Linked DNA regions of Saccharomyces cerevisiae S288C. The gene in region 1 interacts genetically with each later gene. Each region holds a gene or a part of one and is shown in the gene's direction. Other genes may lie near its edges.

The links. A genetic interaction does not mean that the proteins touch.
Region 2: mutations in PSD1 (region 1) and PHB1 are lethal when combined (synthetic lethality), as found in Saccharomyces cerevisiae (7 studies listed by BioGRID, with this or other methods).
Region 3: mutations in PSD1 (region 1) and IRE1 together harm fitness more than expected from each alone (negative genetic interaction), as found in Saccharomyces cerevisiae (6 studies listed by BioGRID).

Annotation. Positions count from the first base shown.
Region 1 is NC_001146.8:315,669-319,267, reverse strand, and holds PSD1 (phosphatidylserine decarboxylase 1), read left to right. Parts: upstream 1-1,596; coding exon 1,597-3,099; downstream 3,100-3,599. Other genes in the region: FMP41 (Fmp41p), read left to right, coding at 459-1,238; APC1 (anaphase promoting complex subunit 1), read right to left, coding at 3,386-3,599. UniProt on the Saccharomyces cerevisiae protein: Catalyzes the formation of phosphatidylethanolamine (PtdEtn) from phosphatidylserine (PtdSer). Plays a central role in phospholipid metabolism and in the interorganelle trafficking of phosphatidylserine.
Region 2 is NC_001139.9:754,764-758,618, reverse strand, and holds PHB1 (prohibitin subunit PHB1), read left to right. Parts: upstream 1-2,166; coding exon 2,167-3,030; downstream 3,031-3,855. Other genes in the region: CCR4-NOT core subunit CAF130, read right to left, coding at 1-849; PEX4 (E2 ubiquitin-protein ligase peroxin 4), read right to left, coding at 1,172-1,723; FHN1 (Fhn1p), read right to left, coding at 3,369-3,855. UniProt on the Saccharomyces cerevisiae protein: Prohibitin probably acts as a holdase/unfoldase for the stabilization of newly synthesized mitochondrial proteins. Involved in mitophagy; may act as an adapter for ATG8 that supports mitophagosome assembly.
Region 3 is NC_001140.6:257,419-263,880, reverse strand, and holds IRE1 (bifunctional endoribonuclease/protein kinase IRE1), read left to right. Parts: upstream 1-2,289; coding exon 2,290-5,637; downstream 5,638-6,462. Other genes in the region: LAM4 (Lam4p), read left to right, coding at 1-1,080; SAE3 (Sae3p), read left to right, coding at 1,328-1,440, 1,527-1,689; YHR078W (uncharacterized protein), read right to left, coding at 5,863-6,462. UniProt on the Saccharomyces cerevisiae protein: Senses unfolded proteins in the lumen of the endoplasmic reticulum via its N-terminal domain which leads to enzyme auto-activation.

The DNA of each region.
Region 1 (3,599 bases):
TAACTTCAAGATTTTTTTTTCTATATTTGATATAAACTTTAATAGGGTTCTTCTTTTCAGAAGTTTATCAATTGCTTAAGCCTCCTTTTGTTGATCAACAACAATAAAGGCTTTATTATCGTAAATTTTCCTACAGCATTTATTCTTCATAGAGCATACCGTTATAATTTCACCGTCTTTTCACTACGCTCATAAAGAGAGTACAGTTATACTGCTGCAACCCTAGCATGTATCAAGCTGTGCTGCTTATACCTATTTTGAAAGGGCCATTCCTTCTTTTGCCATTCCTTTTTCGTCTATTTTCCTAAATAGCTTCCTTAGCCTCACGTTTTTTTGTTCGCTTTCAAGAGATGGTCACCGTTCTCTAACTGATAAGGAAAAACGTTTCAGCCAGAACTTCCTATATAGAAATATTCTGAAAGCTATCGAGTAAAGACTCAGGAAATTGCCAAAACGTTATGAGCTACAATTATTTGAAGGCAGCTAGAAAAATTATATGCATTGGGCGTAATTACGCAGCGCATATCAAAGAGCTGAACAATTCAACTCCAAAACAACCGTTTTTTTTCCTAAAACCAACCTCGAGTATTGTGACACCATTGTCTTCATCATTGGTCAAGACCACTAGACCTGCAAACTCGACTTTCAATGGTTTAAATGAAGACGGAACTAACCCCGGGCCCATTTTTATCCCACGCGGTGTGAAGGTTCATCACGAAATTGAGTTGGCATTGATTGTGAGCAAACATTTGTCCAATGTCACTAAGATGAAACCCGAAGAAGTCTATGACTCTATTAGTGGTGTAGCTCTAGCATTGGATCTTACAGCAAGAAATGTCCAAGATGAAGCCAAAAAGAAGGGGCTACCTTGGACTATAAGCAAGGGTTTTGACACCTTCATGCCAATCTCTGCTATAGTCTCCCGCGAGAAGTTCTCATCCTACAAATCAAACTTACAGGATATTTTCAGAGTCAAGTGCTCTGTTAACGGACAGTTGAGACAAGATGGTGGTACTAACCTCATGTTGCACCCACTCCATAAAATACTGCAACACATATCTACCATGATATCTCTGGAACCGGGTGATATCATTTTGACTGGTACACCTGCAGGTGTAGGCGAGTTAAAGCCTGGTGACCGTGTTCACTGTGAGCTATTGCAGAATAATGACAATATTGTCGACATGAACTTCGAATGTGAAAATCGGCCGGGACCATATGAATTTAGAGAAACATAATGTCTGTCGCATTCACGCTTGTCGCAGATAACACGTTATGCGTTACTAATTTCCTACAAGCTTGGCACATATACGACCAATTGTGCTTCTGTATACGCTACGCTATGTAATCACATATCACATGCAGGGTAACCAGCACCTTTTTGGTGTTTTTTCAAATCTCGAGGTCAAGGGACATCTAAAGCAGGCACAAGCATGTGGAAAATTTGTTCTTCACCTATAATATAAAACAGCTTACTCACAAAAGAGACGCCTAGAGGTACGTAGCGCTTTAAGGACTCTTCAGCCAGTTGTTAGCAGATCGCTCAAATCCTTCTTGGTCGTTATTTTTTGAAGAAGAAGGAAAAGCAAAGCCAGCATGTCAATTATGCCAGTTAAGAACGCCTTGGCGCAAGGGAGGACGCTCCTCATGGGGAGGATGCCTGCTGTAAAGTTTTCTACAAGAATGCAATTAAGAAATAGAACTGCGGTGCTATGGAATAGAAAGTTTTCCACGCGTCTTTTCGTTCAGCAACGACGCAGTTCTGGAGAGATTGTGGATCGTGCCAAAGCTGCTGCCGCAAATAGCGGAAGAAAACAGGTCTCCATGAAATGGGTTGTTTTAACTAGTTTCACCATTGTTCTAGGAACCATTTTACTAGTGTCAAGGAATGATAGTACAGAGGAGGATGCTACAGAGGGCAAAAAAGGGAGAAGGACAAGAAAAATCAAAATATTTAACAATAATTGGCTCTTTTTCTGCTATTCTACTTTACCGCTGAATGCGATGTCTCGATTATGGGGCCAAGTAAATTCTCTTACGTTACCCATTTGGGTTAGACCATGGGGTTACAGGTTATATTCTTTCCTTTTTGGAGTTAACTTGGACGAGATGGAAGATCCTGATTTGACACATTATGCAAATTTATCCGAATTTTTCTATCGTAACATAAAACCAGGCACACGTCCAGTAGCACAAGGCGAAGACGTTATAGCTTCTCCAAGTGATGGAAAGATTTTACAAGTTGGTATAATCAACTCTGAAACTGGCGAAATCGAACAAGTCAAGGGAATGACATATTCCATCAAAGAATTCCTTGGCACTCACTCCCACCCCTTGATGTCTAAGAGTGCATCTAGTCTAGATTTGACTTCTGATGAGGAAAAGCATAGAGAATTCGCCAGGGTAAATAGAATACAATTAGCGGGTTCCGAAGACACTGAACAGCCTCTTCTTAACTTTAAAAACGAGGGCGATCAATCTGTTCGAGAGTTCAAACCAAGTGTGTCCAAAAATATACATCTTTTAAGTCAACTTTCTTTAAACTACTTCTCTAATGGGTTTTCGTGCTCTGAGCCTCATGATACGGAACTTTTCTTTGCCGTCATTTATTTGGCTCCCGGTGATTACCATCATTTCCACTCTCCAGTTGACTGGGTTTGTAAGGTTCGCCGCCATTTCCCAGGTGATTTATTCTCCGTGGCACCTTATTTCCAGCGTAACTTCCCTAATCTTTTCGTTCTAAATGAAAGAGTTGCTTTGTTGGGTAGTTGGAAGTACGGATTTTTTAGCATGACTCCTGTTGGTGCAACAAATGTTGGTTCAATCAAGTTGAATTTTGATCAAGAATTTGTGACAAATTCAAAGAGCGACAAACACTTGGAACCACATACCTGCTACCAGGCAGTATATGAGAATGCAAGTAAAATATTGGGAGGGATGCCTTTGGTTAAGGGTGAAGAAATGGGTGGCTTTGAATTGGGTAGCACTGTTGTACTTTGTTTTGAAGCTCCCACTGAATTTAAGTTCGATGTTAGGGTTGGTGATAAGGTTAAGATGGGACAGAAATTAGGCATAATTGGAAAGAATGATTTAAAATGAAAGCAATCATATGTAAAGTTAGCATTTATTTTGCTGTATATAGTATTATCTGCACACTTTGATTTAATTCTTCTTTTGGAGGTATGTAAAATTATACGCTGTACATTTTTCAGATTGGACTTGTTAGATGTAAACTTTAGATTAAAGATGTTCGTCTGAAGAATTTTAGCCATGTCATGTACCCCTTTCATAAACCAAGTTATACACAAAGATTACACCTTACCCCAGTTTTGGAACCTTTTAAAGCTAGTCTTAGATACCCAAATAAATATTCTTGAGTTTTGCATTATTCATCATGTGGTCCAAAGCTTTTGTACCACAATTCGAGTTGGCAATCCAAAATATCTCCACTGTTTTTATCTGAACACAGCAAACCTAAATTATAAGATTCTGAATCCGTTAATGCTGTATTATTTCCTGCACTCAAAAGAGTATCGAGTTCCACCATTGTCAAATCTTGAATACCCAAACTTTCAACCAGTTGCGAAGAGGTGGTATTT
Region 2 (3,855 bases), on another chromosome or scaffold:
TATTTGTTCCTGGTCATTTATTGTTCGGCCCATTATCGCCTCTCTCGGTTGTTTTTGATGATCAAAACGGCTATCGTCAAGGCCACTTCCAGCATTGCCTTCATCATTTTCCATTAACAGGCTAATGTTATCACTAAAAGTAAGATTTACTCTGTTCTCAGCATTAAAGGAATACCAGAAATAAAAATTTCGGCATTCTATCATTCTATTGTAATCTTTTAAAATTTTTCTAACGACAAGTGCTGGCTTATCAAATGTGGAGCTGCAGCTTATCAAACTCTCTATACGGCCAGTTATCGAATACAAATAGTCCTTTAACAAATTATACGTTTCATTGAGTAATATGGACGGAATAGTAATTTTTGAAACAATTAAAAAGCTCAACGGGAGTTTGTATTCTGGAAGATTGTACCGATTAATTTGAAGAGGGGCCGTTTTATTTGCTAATAAAAACCTTAAGAATTTCAGGAGTAATATATCATTATCTTTCCAACTCAGTACTATGGAAGCATAGCTAGAACTGTTATTTTCAAAGGACTGGGCCCAGGATTTTCTTTCCTTCAAAGAAGAAGTCTGAATTAATCGTAAAGCTGACTTCCCTGAAATTGTTGTGAACAACGTAATTATGAGAGCCTCAAGCAATAGGTTAGAGCATATTTTCTGATCATTAAACATGGTTTCATTATATAAGATCTTCTCCAAATTTTCCACCGATGGAACATAATTTTTATCTTTCAGTAACTCTTGTAAGGGAATAAAGTCCTTAAAATGAACCGAATCACCTGAAGAATCTTCACTGGCTAAATTTTGCCTTTCAGCATAATTAGTAGCTGCTTTCTTTTTCGTCATCACTTTCTTACGTAAGTATGTGGAGTTAAGAGAGAAAAAGTGTTTGAAAAAAGCTCCTCAACGATCTACTGGGCTGCCAAAATAAAATTCAGCGTCAATGGAAAAGCTAACTAATGTAGATATTGCGTGCACTACTTGTCAAAAATTCGTGCTCCTTATTAATATATGTATATGTATATACAAATGTGTCAATACATCAATAGTGCAATTTGTTAAAGTATTTGTATTCATAAATTGGCGCTGCCCGGGTAAGGTAGAAATTGCATCAGATAAAAGTGAGGGCCCATTGTTTGCCATTCGAACACATCCATCCTACGTGGTATCAATGGTTGTTGATCCGCTCTCTTTCTGCTAGGAAGTACTTTACAATCCCCTGATAGGCACTCATATCGCCACAGCGGATGATATTACCAATGTCTACGTCAAGTGGAGAATCACAAACGGGTTCCCTTAGGAGTCTCCAAACAGCATGAACACAGTGTAACAAATCCCATACAGGAGTCCACTCCTCTGGTTTAAGGATGTTCAGACATATTTCTCCTGTGGCTGATTTAACATTGCAGTGCAAAATATTGTTCTGCATAAAACTTATCTTTGGTGGATTCATGGGGTAGGAACTAGGGACTTCTATTAGTATTCGAAACTGATGATTTTCATAAGGTGTGTCTGACGGCCCAGAAATTATAGCTTCCCACTTGCTCAAGTCGGTTTCGTCAATCGGGTTAAGTGACTCGATTATCCCCCGGTAGGGGTTCGCTATGGGGTCATCACTGGCCAATGTTTTCAGTATGACTTTGTACTCCTTCACGATCCTCGACATACATGTATCAGACGTATAGCTCCTACGATTCTCAAGAATCCAGAAGTTTGGCATATTATGTATAAAGGCGATGATTATGTATATTTTATGTTGTCTCCAGTAAGTGGCAGCATAACCCGGCCAGTCTGCGCTGCATGCTGTGAAGCAGTAATATGCGATATATACCACATATATTCCGCTTCCGTTCAGGATTTCGAAAAGAGAAACTTCAGTGAATGACTATGACTACATAGTTGGAGTCTTAGACCATTGCAAATGAGTTATTCAAGTATGAGAGATCAACACTGATGAGAATAAACTCGTCTTCATGATGATACGGGTAACGCGAATGTATCGCATCAATAAATTTCAGGGAAAGGGAGTTTGACGATCTCATGGATGCAACGGTTGAGGTATATAATATTAAGCAGAAAGAAGAGGAAAAAAAATAAATCGGTAAACCAACCATCAACGGTACGAAACTTACATTCAAAATCAATAATTTACTTTAGAAAAGAATGTCTAATTCTGCCAAACTTATCGATGTCATCACCAAGGTGGCGTTGCCCATTGGTATAATTGCTAGCGGGATTCAGTACTCCATGTATGATGTGAAGGGTGGTTCTCGTGGTGTTATTTTCGACAGAATCAATGGTGTAAAGCAACAGGTTGTGGGTGAAGGCACTCATTTCTTGGTGCCTTGGCTACAGAAGGCGATCATATACGATGTGAGGACGAAACCAAAGAGCATTGCTACCAATACTGGTACGAAGGATTTGCAAATGGTGTCATTGACCTTGAGAGTCTTACATAGACCAGAGGTCTTACAGCTACCCGCAATATACCAAAATTTGGGTCTCGATTACGACGAAAGAGTGTTACCATCTATCGGCAATGAGGTTTTAAAGTCTATAGTAGCTCAATTTGATGCTGCTGAGTTAATTACTCAGAGAGAAATTATTTCTCAAAAAATCAGAAAAGAGCTTTCTACGAGGGCCAACGAATTCGGTATTAAGTTGGAAGATGTCTCTATCACTCATATGACGTTTGGTCCCGAATTCACGAAAGCAGTTGAGCAGAAGCAGATTGCACAGCAAGATGCCGAAAGAGCCAAATTCCTTGTCGAAAAGGCAGAGCAAGAGAGACAAGCTTCTGTTATCAGAGCTGAAGGTGAAGCAGAAAGTGCTGAATTCATTTCAAAAGCCTTAGCTAAAGTTGGTGATGGTCTGTTATTGATTAGAAGATTAGAAGCTTCTAAGGACATCGCTCAAACATTAGCAAACTCATCTAACGTTGTCTATTTACCAAGTCAACATTCTGGTGGTGGTAACAGCGAGTCTTCGGGATCACCAAATTCCTTGCTTTTGAACATTGGCCGTTAAGTCTGGAAAAGCTATGAACACAATAAACTAGGGGAGAAAATTTTTTTTTAATCATATTAGAAACCTGTATATATGGGGGATAACAACGCCAATAACATATTCCATCTTTCCATTTAGTTACCAACACGAATACGTATGCTATCAATATCGTAACTTAGTTTTTTATCATTTATATATATACATGGATGAGCCTACGAAAAAACTAAAGCACATTCATGTATCACCATAATATTATTTTAGAAAGAACTTTTTTTGTTAAATTTATTTAATGCAAAGGTTATATAAAGAACGATCAACGAAAATTGTACGCGAATTGCCTTTTTTTCAGTCCAGTAGGCTTAAACCTGGGAAATTGTAGGTATGCCCATTTGTCTTCTTGCCCTCCTTCTGCTGAATCCGGTATTAGAGCCAAATCCACCATTTTGCATCATACCCATCGTGGCCACAGTCACTTTGATGAGGAATAGAAAACAGGAAAAGTAAAAAAACGCAACAGCAGCCTGAGATTGATGACATCTGGAGCTTGAGCCTTGTATGATCTTATTCTGTTCCAGATATGTTTTGTTTTTACACGAATGGCATCTTATACCTACAGCCAAAGCGGTGGCTGCTACAAACGTAAATATGAAATTTAAAAAATCCAAAACAAGCAAAATTGCTGGGTATGTTAATGATGTCCAGAAATTAGCCAAAAACCCATATAATGAATCCGTAACCAGACCATAAACGGCGGCAAACATACAAAAGTTCACTCGAGAACTATGCTTTGTCTGTGTACCTATCAGGCCGCTGATTAGACCTATGGATATAATAAGAAAAACAGCA
Region 3 (6,462 bases), on another chromosome or scaffold:
TTGCTATTTGGATCGAATACAGAGTATATGCAGAAAGTTATCACTAGAGATAAGAATAATGTCAATGTGGAAACGATACCAAAATTCACGCCTTCGTTGGTTGAAGGAGGTTCAAGACACTATGAGTACACGAAGAAATTGAACAATTCTATCGGACCTAAGCAAACAAAATGTTTACTAACCGAGTCTATTGAACACATGGATATCAATAACTATGTTTTGGTGACACAAACAACTAAAACTCCAGACGTCCCCTCTGGTAGCAATTTTGCAGTAGAAAGTAAAATCTTTCTATTCTGGGGGCAGCATGACACCACGAATATGACCGTTATAACAAAAATCAACTGGACAAGTAAATCATTTTTGAAAGGTGCAATTGAGAAAGGATCTGTTGAGGGTCAGAAGGTTTCTGTCGATTACATGCTATCCGAGTTAAGAGACATTATTAGCAGGGCAAAAAGCAAAAAACCGGTGAAGAAAGTAATGAAGAGTCATGATAAACATAGGCCTTTCCATAGTAAGGTTGAACAGAAAAGTTCCGAAAGCCGTAAGAGCGATGATAATAAAGACATTTTAACTCATATTTTGGATTTCGTTCAGAATAATTTTAGTTCAGAAATTTTTATGAACAAATTGCTGAGTCCTCAAAAACTATTCTTGATCTTGGGGTTGACCATTATGCTTTTCTGGTCTCCTCGGCTTCACGTGTTTCAAGAAAAAAATAATCTTCAAATCATCAAGCCAGGAAGGCTGCTGATTGATGGTCAAGAATATAATTACGTGCCCAGTTTCGGCACACTGTATAACTCATATGAAAACGCCATATCATCTAAGAAGAAGAGAGAAAATGTAAATTACGCAAGGGATAAGAGTCCTATTGTAGGAAGGGAAAGCGATATTTGGGATTGGATCAGTAACAGAGGGAGTGCAATATCACCTCGAGGTCGTGCTATGTTGAGAAACGATGACGAACACAAATTGCAGCAATTATCAGAAAGTATCAAAATAACAGAAATGCAACTAAATCATATGAAAACTATGTTGGACAACATTGAGAGGGACGCAAATGATCTATCTTAATAGCATTTTATATATTCTGTTTGTATTATTTAGTAATTGTATCTAGTACATATCCTGTAGCGGTTGGCCTGATTCCTTTTAAGTTAGATGACAGGCACACTTTGCATTATCACATCAGACGGAATTGTTCTGCCTAATGGCGGCTATTCTATTTCTGCTTCATAAATGCAAAGACAGAGTATAAGAATAATTTTAAATTAAAAGCAATGGTCTTATCCTTGCCATAAACAGAAGACAACTTGCAAGTATGAACTATTTGGAAACACAGTTAAATAAAAAGCAAAAACAGATACAGGAATACGAAAGTATGAATGGCAACCTGATAAAGATGTTTGAGCAATTGTCTAAAGAAAAGAAAAAGTATGTAGCTATTTTTTCCAGTCGGCAAAAATCGGTATAACAAACAAAAAATATTTAGTTTCTGTTATTAACAGAACTTGTCAAAGTGATGAGACACCAAAAAAAATTTCCTCGACGTACATTAAAGAGTTAAAGGAGTACAACGAATTGAGAGATGCCGGTTTAAGGTTGGCCCAAATAATTGCTGATGAAAAGCAATGCAAAATTAAGGATGTTTTTGAAGAGATCGGTTATTCAATGAAGGACTAATGGGCTTTTAGGGACAGTTCTATTCTTCCAACGTGCGAAGCGTTCCAATGAAACTCTGCTGCGCGCTGAAAACTATATAAAAAAAAAAAAAGATAAAATTACAAAGAAGTAATGAACTTAAATGCTATTATACAGTTACTAATTAAGCTGCGTAGTGTGAAATATATTGATAGTTGTAGTTTTGAGGTTTTATTACCCTCTGTTATATAATAGGTTTTCGCTATTTTATTGCCGAAAATCAAGACGGAGCGTAAGCCTCTTCGGGCAATACCTTCGACTATTCCAACAATAAAATTTAAAAAAAGAGATTAATCACATAGTAACAAGAAATAAACGAAAAACATATCATAGGAGATCAATGAGCCAACTTCACATAAACTAACAGTGAAAAGTCTATAACAATATTAATTTTACACAATTAAATCTACACTATAACTGGCACTGTTAATAATCGGTAATCTGCTAAGTAACTTTTTTTTCTCATTCACAAAGCATCGTTTTCCTCTTCCCCACGTCCATTATCACTTTTCTCCATATCACCCTTCATACACATTAAAAAAACAGCATATCTGAGGAATTAATATTTTAGCACTTTGAAAAATGCGTCTACTTCGAAGAAACATGTTAGTATTGACACTGCTCGTTTGTGTGTTTTCATCCATCATTTCATGCTCAATCCCATTGTCGTCTCGCACCTCAAGGCGGCAGATAGTGGAAGATGAAGTTGCCTCCACTAAAAAGCTCAATTTCAACTATGGTGTGGATAAAAATATAAACTCGCCCATTCCTGCTCCAAGAACCACTGAAGGTTTACCAAATATGAAACTCAGCTCATATCCAACTCCTAACTTATTGAATACTGCTGATAATCGACGTGCTAACAAAAAAGGACGTAGGGCTGCCAATTCTATAAGTGTACCCTATTTGGAGAATCGTTCCTTGAACGAACTGAGTTTATCAGATATACTAATCGCAGCCGACGTTGAGGGTGGACTTCATGCTGTAGATAGAAGAAATGGTCATATCATATGGTCAATCGAACCAGAAAATTTTCAACCTCTGATAGAAATACAAGAACCTTCGAGGTTAGAAACATATGAAACGTTGATTATAGAACCTTTCGGTGATGGGAACATTTACTACTTTAACGCCCATCAAGGGTTACAAAAACTGCCTTTATCCATACGACAACTTGTATCAACTTCCCCGCTGCACTTGAAAACAAATATTGTGGTTAATGACTCTGGAAAAATTGTTGAAGATGAAAAGGTCTACACTGGATCGATGAGAACTATAATGTATACTATAAACATGTTGAATGGTGAAATTATATCAGCGTTCGGACCTGGTTCAAAAAACGGGTATTTCGGGAGCCAGAGTGTGGATTGCTCACCTGAGGAGAAGATAAAACTTCAGGAATGTGAAAATATGATTGTAATAGGCAAAACTATTTTTGAGCTGGGAATTCACTCTTATGATGGAGCAAGCTACAATGTCACTTACTCTACATGGCAGCAAAATGTTTTAGATGTTCCCCTAGCGCTTCAGAATACATTTTCAAAGGACGGCATGTGCATAGCGCCTTTCCGTGATAAATCATTGCTAGCAAGCGATTTAGATTTTAGAATTGCTAGATGGGTTTCTCCGACATTCCCCGGAATTATTGTTGGGCTTTTCGATGTGTTTAATGATCTCCGCACCAATGAAAATATACTGGTACCGCATCCCTTTAATCCTGGTGATCATGAAAGTATATCGAGTAACAAAGTTTACTTGGATCAGACTTCGAACCTCTCCTGGTTTGCATTATCTAGTCAGAATTTTCCATCTTTAGTCGAATCAGCTCCCATATCAAGATACGCTTCCAGTGACCGTTGGAGGGTGTCTTCAATTTTTGAAGATGAGACTTTATTCAAGAACGCAATCATGGGTGTTCATCAGATATATAATAATGAATATGATCACCTTTATGAAAACTATGAAAAAACGAATAGTTTGGACACTACGCACAAATATCCACCTCTGATGATTGATTCGTCCGTTGATACAACCGATTTACATCAGAATAACGAGATGAATTCACTAAAGGAATACATGTCACCAGAAGACCTTGAGGCATATAGAAAAAAGATACACGAGCAAATATCGAGAGAATTAGATGAAAAGAACCAAAATTCTTTGCTACTGAAGTTTGGAAGTCTAGTATATCGAATTATAGAGACTGGAGTATTTCTGTTGTTATTTCTCATTTTTTGTGCAATACTACAAAGATTCAAAATTTTGCCGCCACTATATGTATTATTATCCAAAATTGGATTTATGCCTGAAAAGGAAATCCCCATAGTTGAGTCGAAATCGCTAAATTGTCCCTCTTCATCGGAAAATGTAACCAAGCCATTCGATATGAAATCAGGGAAGCAAGTTGTTTTTGAAGGTGCTGTGAACGATGGAAGTCTAAAATCTGAAAAAGATAACGATGATGCTGATGAAGATGATGAAAAATCACTAGATTTAACCACAGAAAAGAAGAAGAGGAAAAGAGGTTCGAGAGGAGGCAAAAAGGGCCGAAAATCACGCATTGCAAATATACCAAACTTTGAGCAATCTTTAAAAAATTTGGTAGTATCCGAAAAAATTTTAGGTTACGGTTCATCAGGAACAGTAGTTTTTCAGGGAAGTTTTCAAGGAAGACCTGTTGCGGTAAAGAGAATGTTAATTGATTTTTGTGACATAGCTTTAATGGAAATAAAACTTTTGACTGAAAGCGATGATCACCCTAACGTCATACGATACTACTGTTCAGAAACAACAGACAGATTTTTGTATATTGCTTTAGAGCTCTGCAATTTGAACCTTCAAGATTTGGTGGAGTCTAAGAATGTATCAGATGAAAACCTGAAATTACAGAAAGAGTATAATCCAATTTCGTTATTGAGACAAATAGCGTCCGGGGTAGCACATTTACATTCTTTAAAGATTATCCATCGAGATTTAAAGCCTCAAAATATTCTCGTTTCTACTTCGAGTAGGTTTACTGCCGATCAGCAAACAGGAGCAGAAAATCTTCGAATTTTGATATCAGACTTTGGTCTTTGCAAAAAACTAGACTCTGGTCAGTCTTCATTTAGAACAAATTTGAATAACCCTTCTGGCACAAGTGGTTGGAGGGCCCCAGAGCTGCTTGAAGAATCAAACAATTTGCAGTGCCAAGTCGAAACGGAACACTCTTCTAGTAGGCATACAGTAGTTTCATCTGATTCTTTTTATGATCCGTTCACCAAGAGGAGGCTAACAAGATCTATTGATATTTTTTCTATGGGATGTGTATTCTATTATATCCTATCCAAAGGGAAGCATCCATTTGGAGATAAATATTCACGTGAAAGCAATATCATAAGAGGAATATTCAGTCTTGATGAAATGAAATGTCTACATGATAGATCCTTAATTGCAGAAGCTACAGATCTGATCTCCCAAATGATTGATCACGATCCGTTAAAAAGACCTACTGCTATGAAAGTTCTAAGGCATCCGTTGTTTTGGCCAAAGTCGAAAAAATTGGAGTTCCTTTTAAAAGTTAGTGATAGGCTTGAAATTGAAAACAGAGACCCTCCAAGTGCCCTGTTAATGAAATTTGACGCCGGTTCTGACTTTGTAATACCCAGTGGAGATTGGACTGTCAAGTTTGATAAAACATTCATGGACAACCTTGAAAGGTACAGAAAATACCATTCATCAAAGTTAATGGATCTATTAAGAGCACTTAGGAATAAATATCATCATTTTATGGATTTACCTGAAGATATAGCAGAACTAATGGGGCCGGTACCCGATGGATTTTACGATTACTTCACCAAGCGTTTTCCAAACCTATTAATAGGTGTTTATATGATTGTCAAGGAAAATTTAAGTGACGATCAAATTTTACGTGAATTTTTGTATTCATAACATGTTCATGCCCCTCTGCTTCTTCTTGGTTGATTATTGCATTAATGTTACTTTGATCATTAGTAGTAACCATCCATAATTTTTACGCCCTTGCATAAATGAAAAAAAGTTGTACTTCTTCATGAACCTATACTACTTTTCTCATCCCTACATAAACTACCCGACAGACATTTAATTTTATAAATACATATCTCATAAACATCGAACATCGACATACTACTCCAGTTATTCAACACTGACTTTTTTGGTGGAAAGCTTTCGTTCTGCAATTCTTATGCAAATAAAGGTAAACACACATGCAAAAGCGTAGACTTCATCAAACCAAGAATCTATGACAATGTTTGGGACGGTAAACTTTCCACCCAATAGCTCCTTTAATCTTTGTGATACTTCAAAAGGGAGATGGGACCTAACCATTAGCGTTGTAGCCAAAACGTAGACGCCAGTCAACTCTGACACCACCAGATTTTTTATCAAAGATATTCCTTTTTGTTCCTGAGAATAGTTTCTCTTTTTTCCCTTATAGGAAGAGTTATTGGTGTACTCTGGAAGTACATTAGCAGTGTCATCATTCTGCATGGCGAAAAGTGCAAGAATCTGGAACTTTATGGGCAAAAGGGTCACAACGTAGGAGATGGTGGTATTGACAGCAGAAAGACAGCAAAGAAAGAGAGAAATTGACAAAAATAACGATATCTGTTTTGTTAACGAATCGAGATCGTGCTGGTAATTGAACCTGAAAAACGAAAAATCCAAAATATTTGCTATCGTAATGGCTAAAGGATCGGATGCTGCATTTTCACTAAAATTTTCATAATCGTAGTC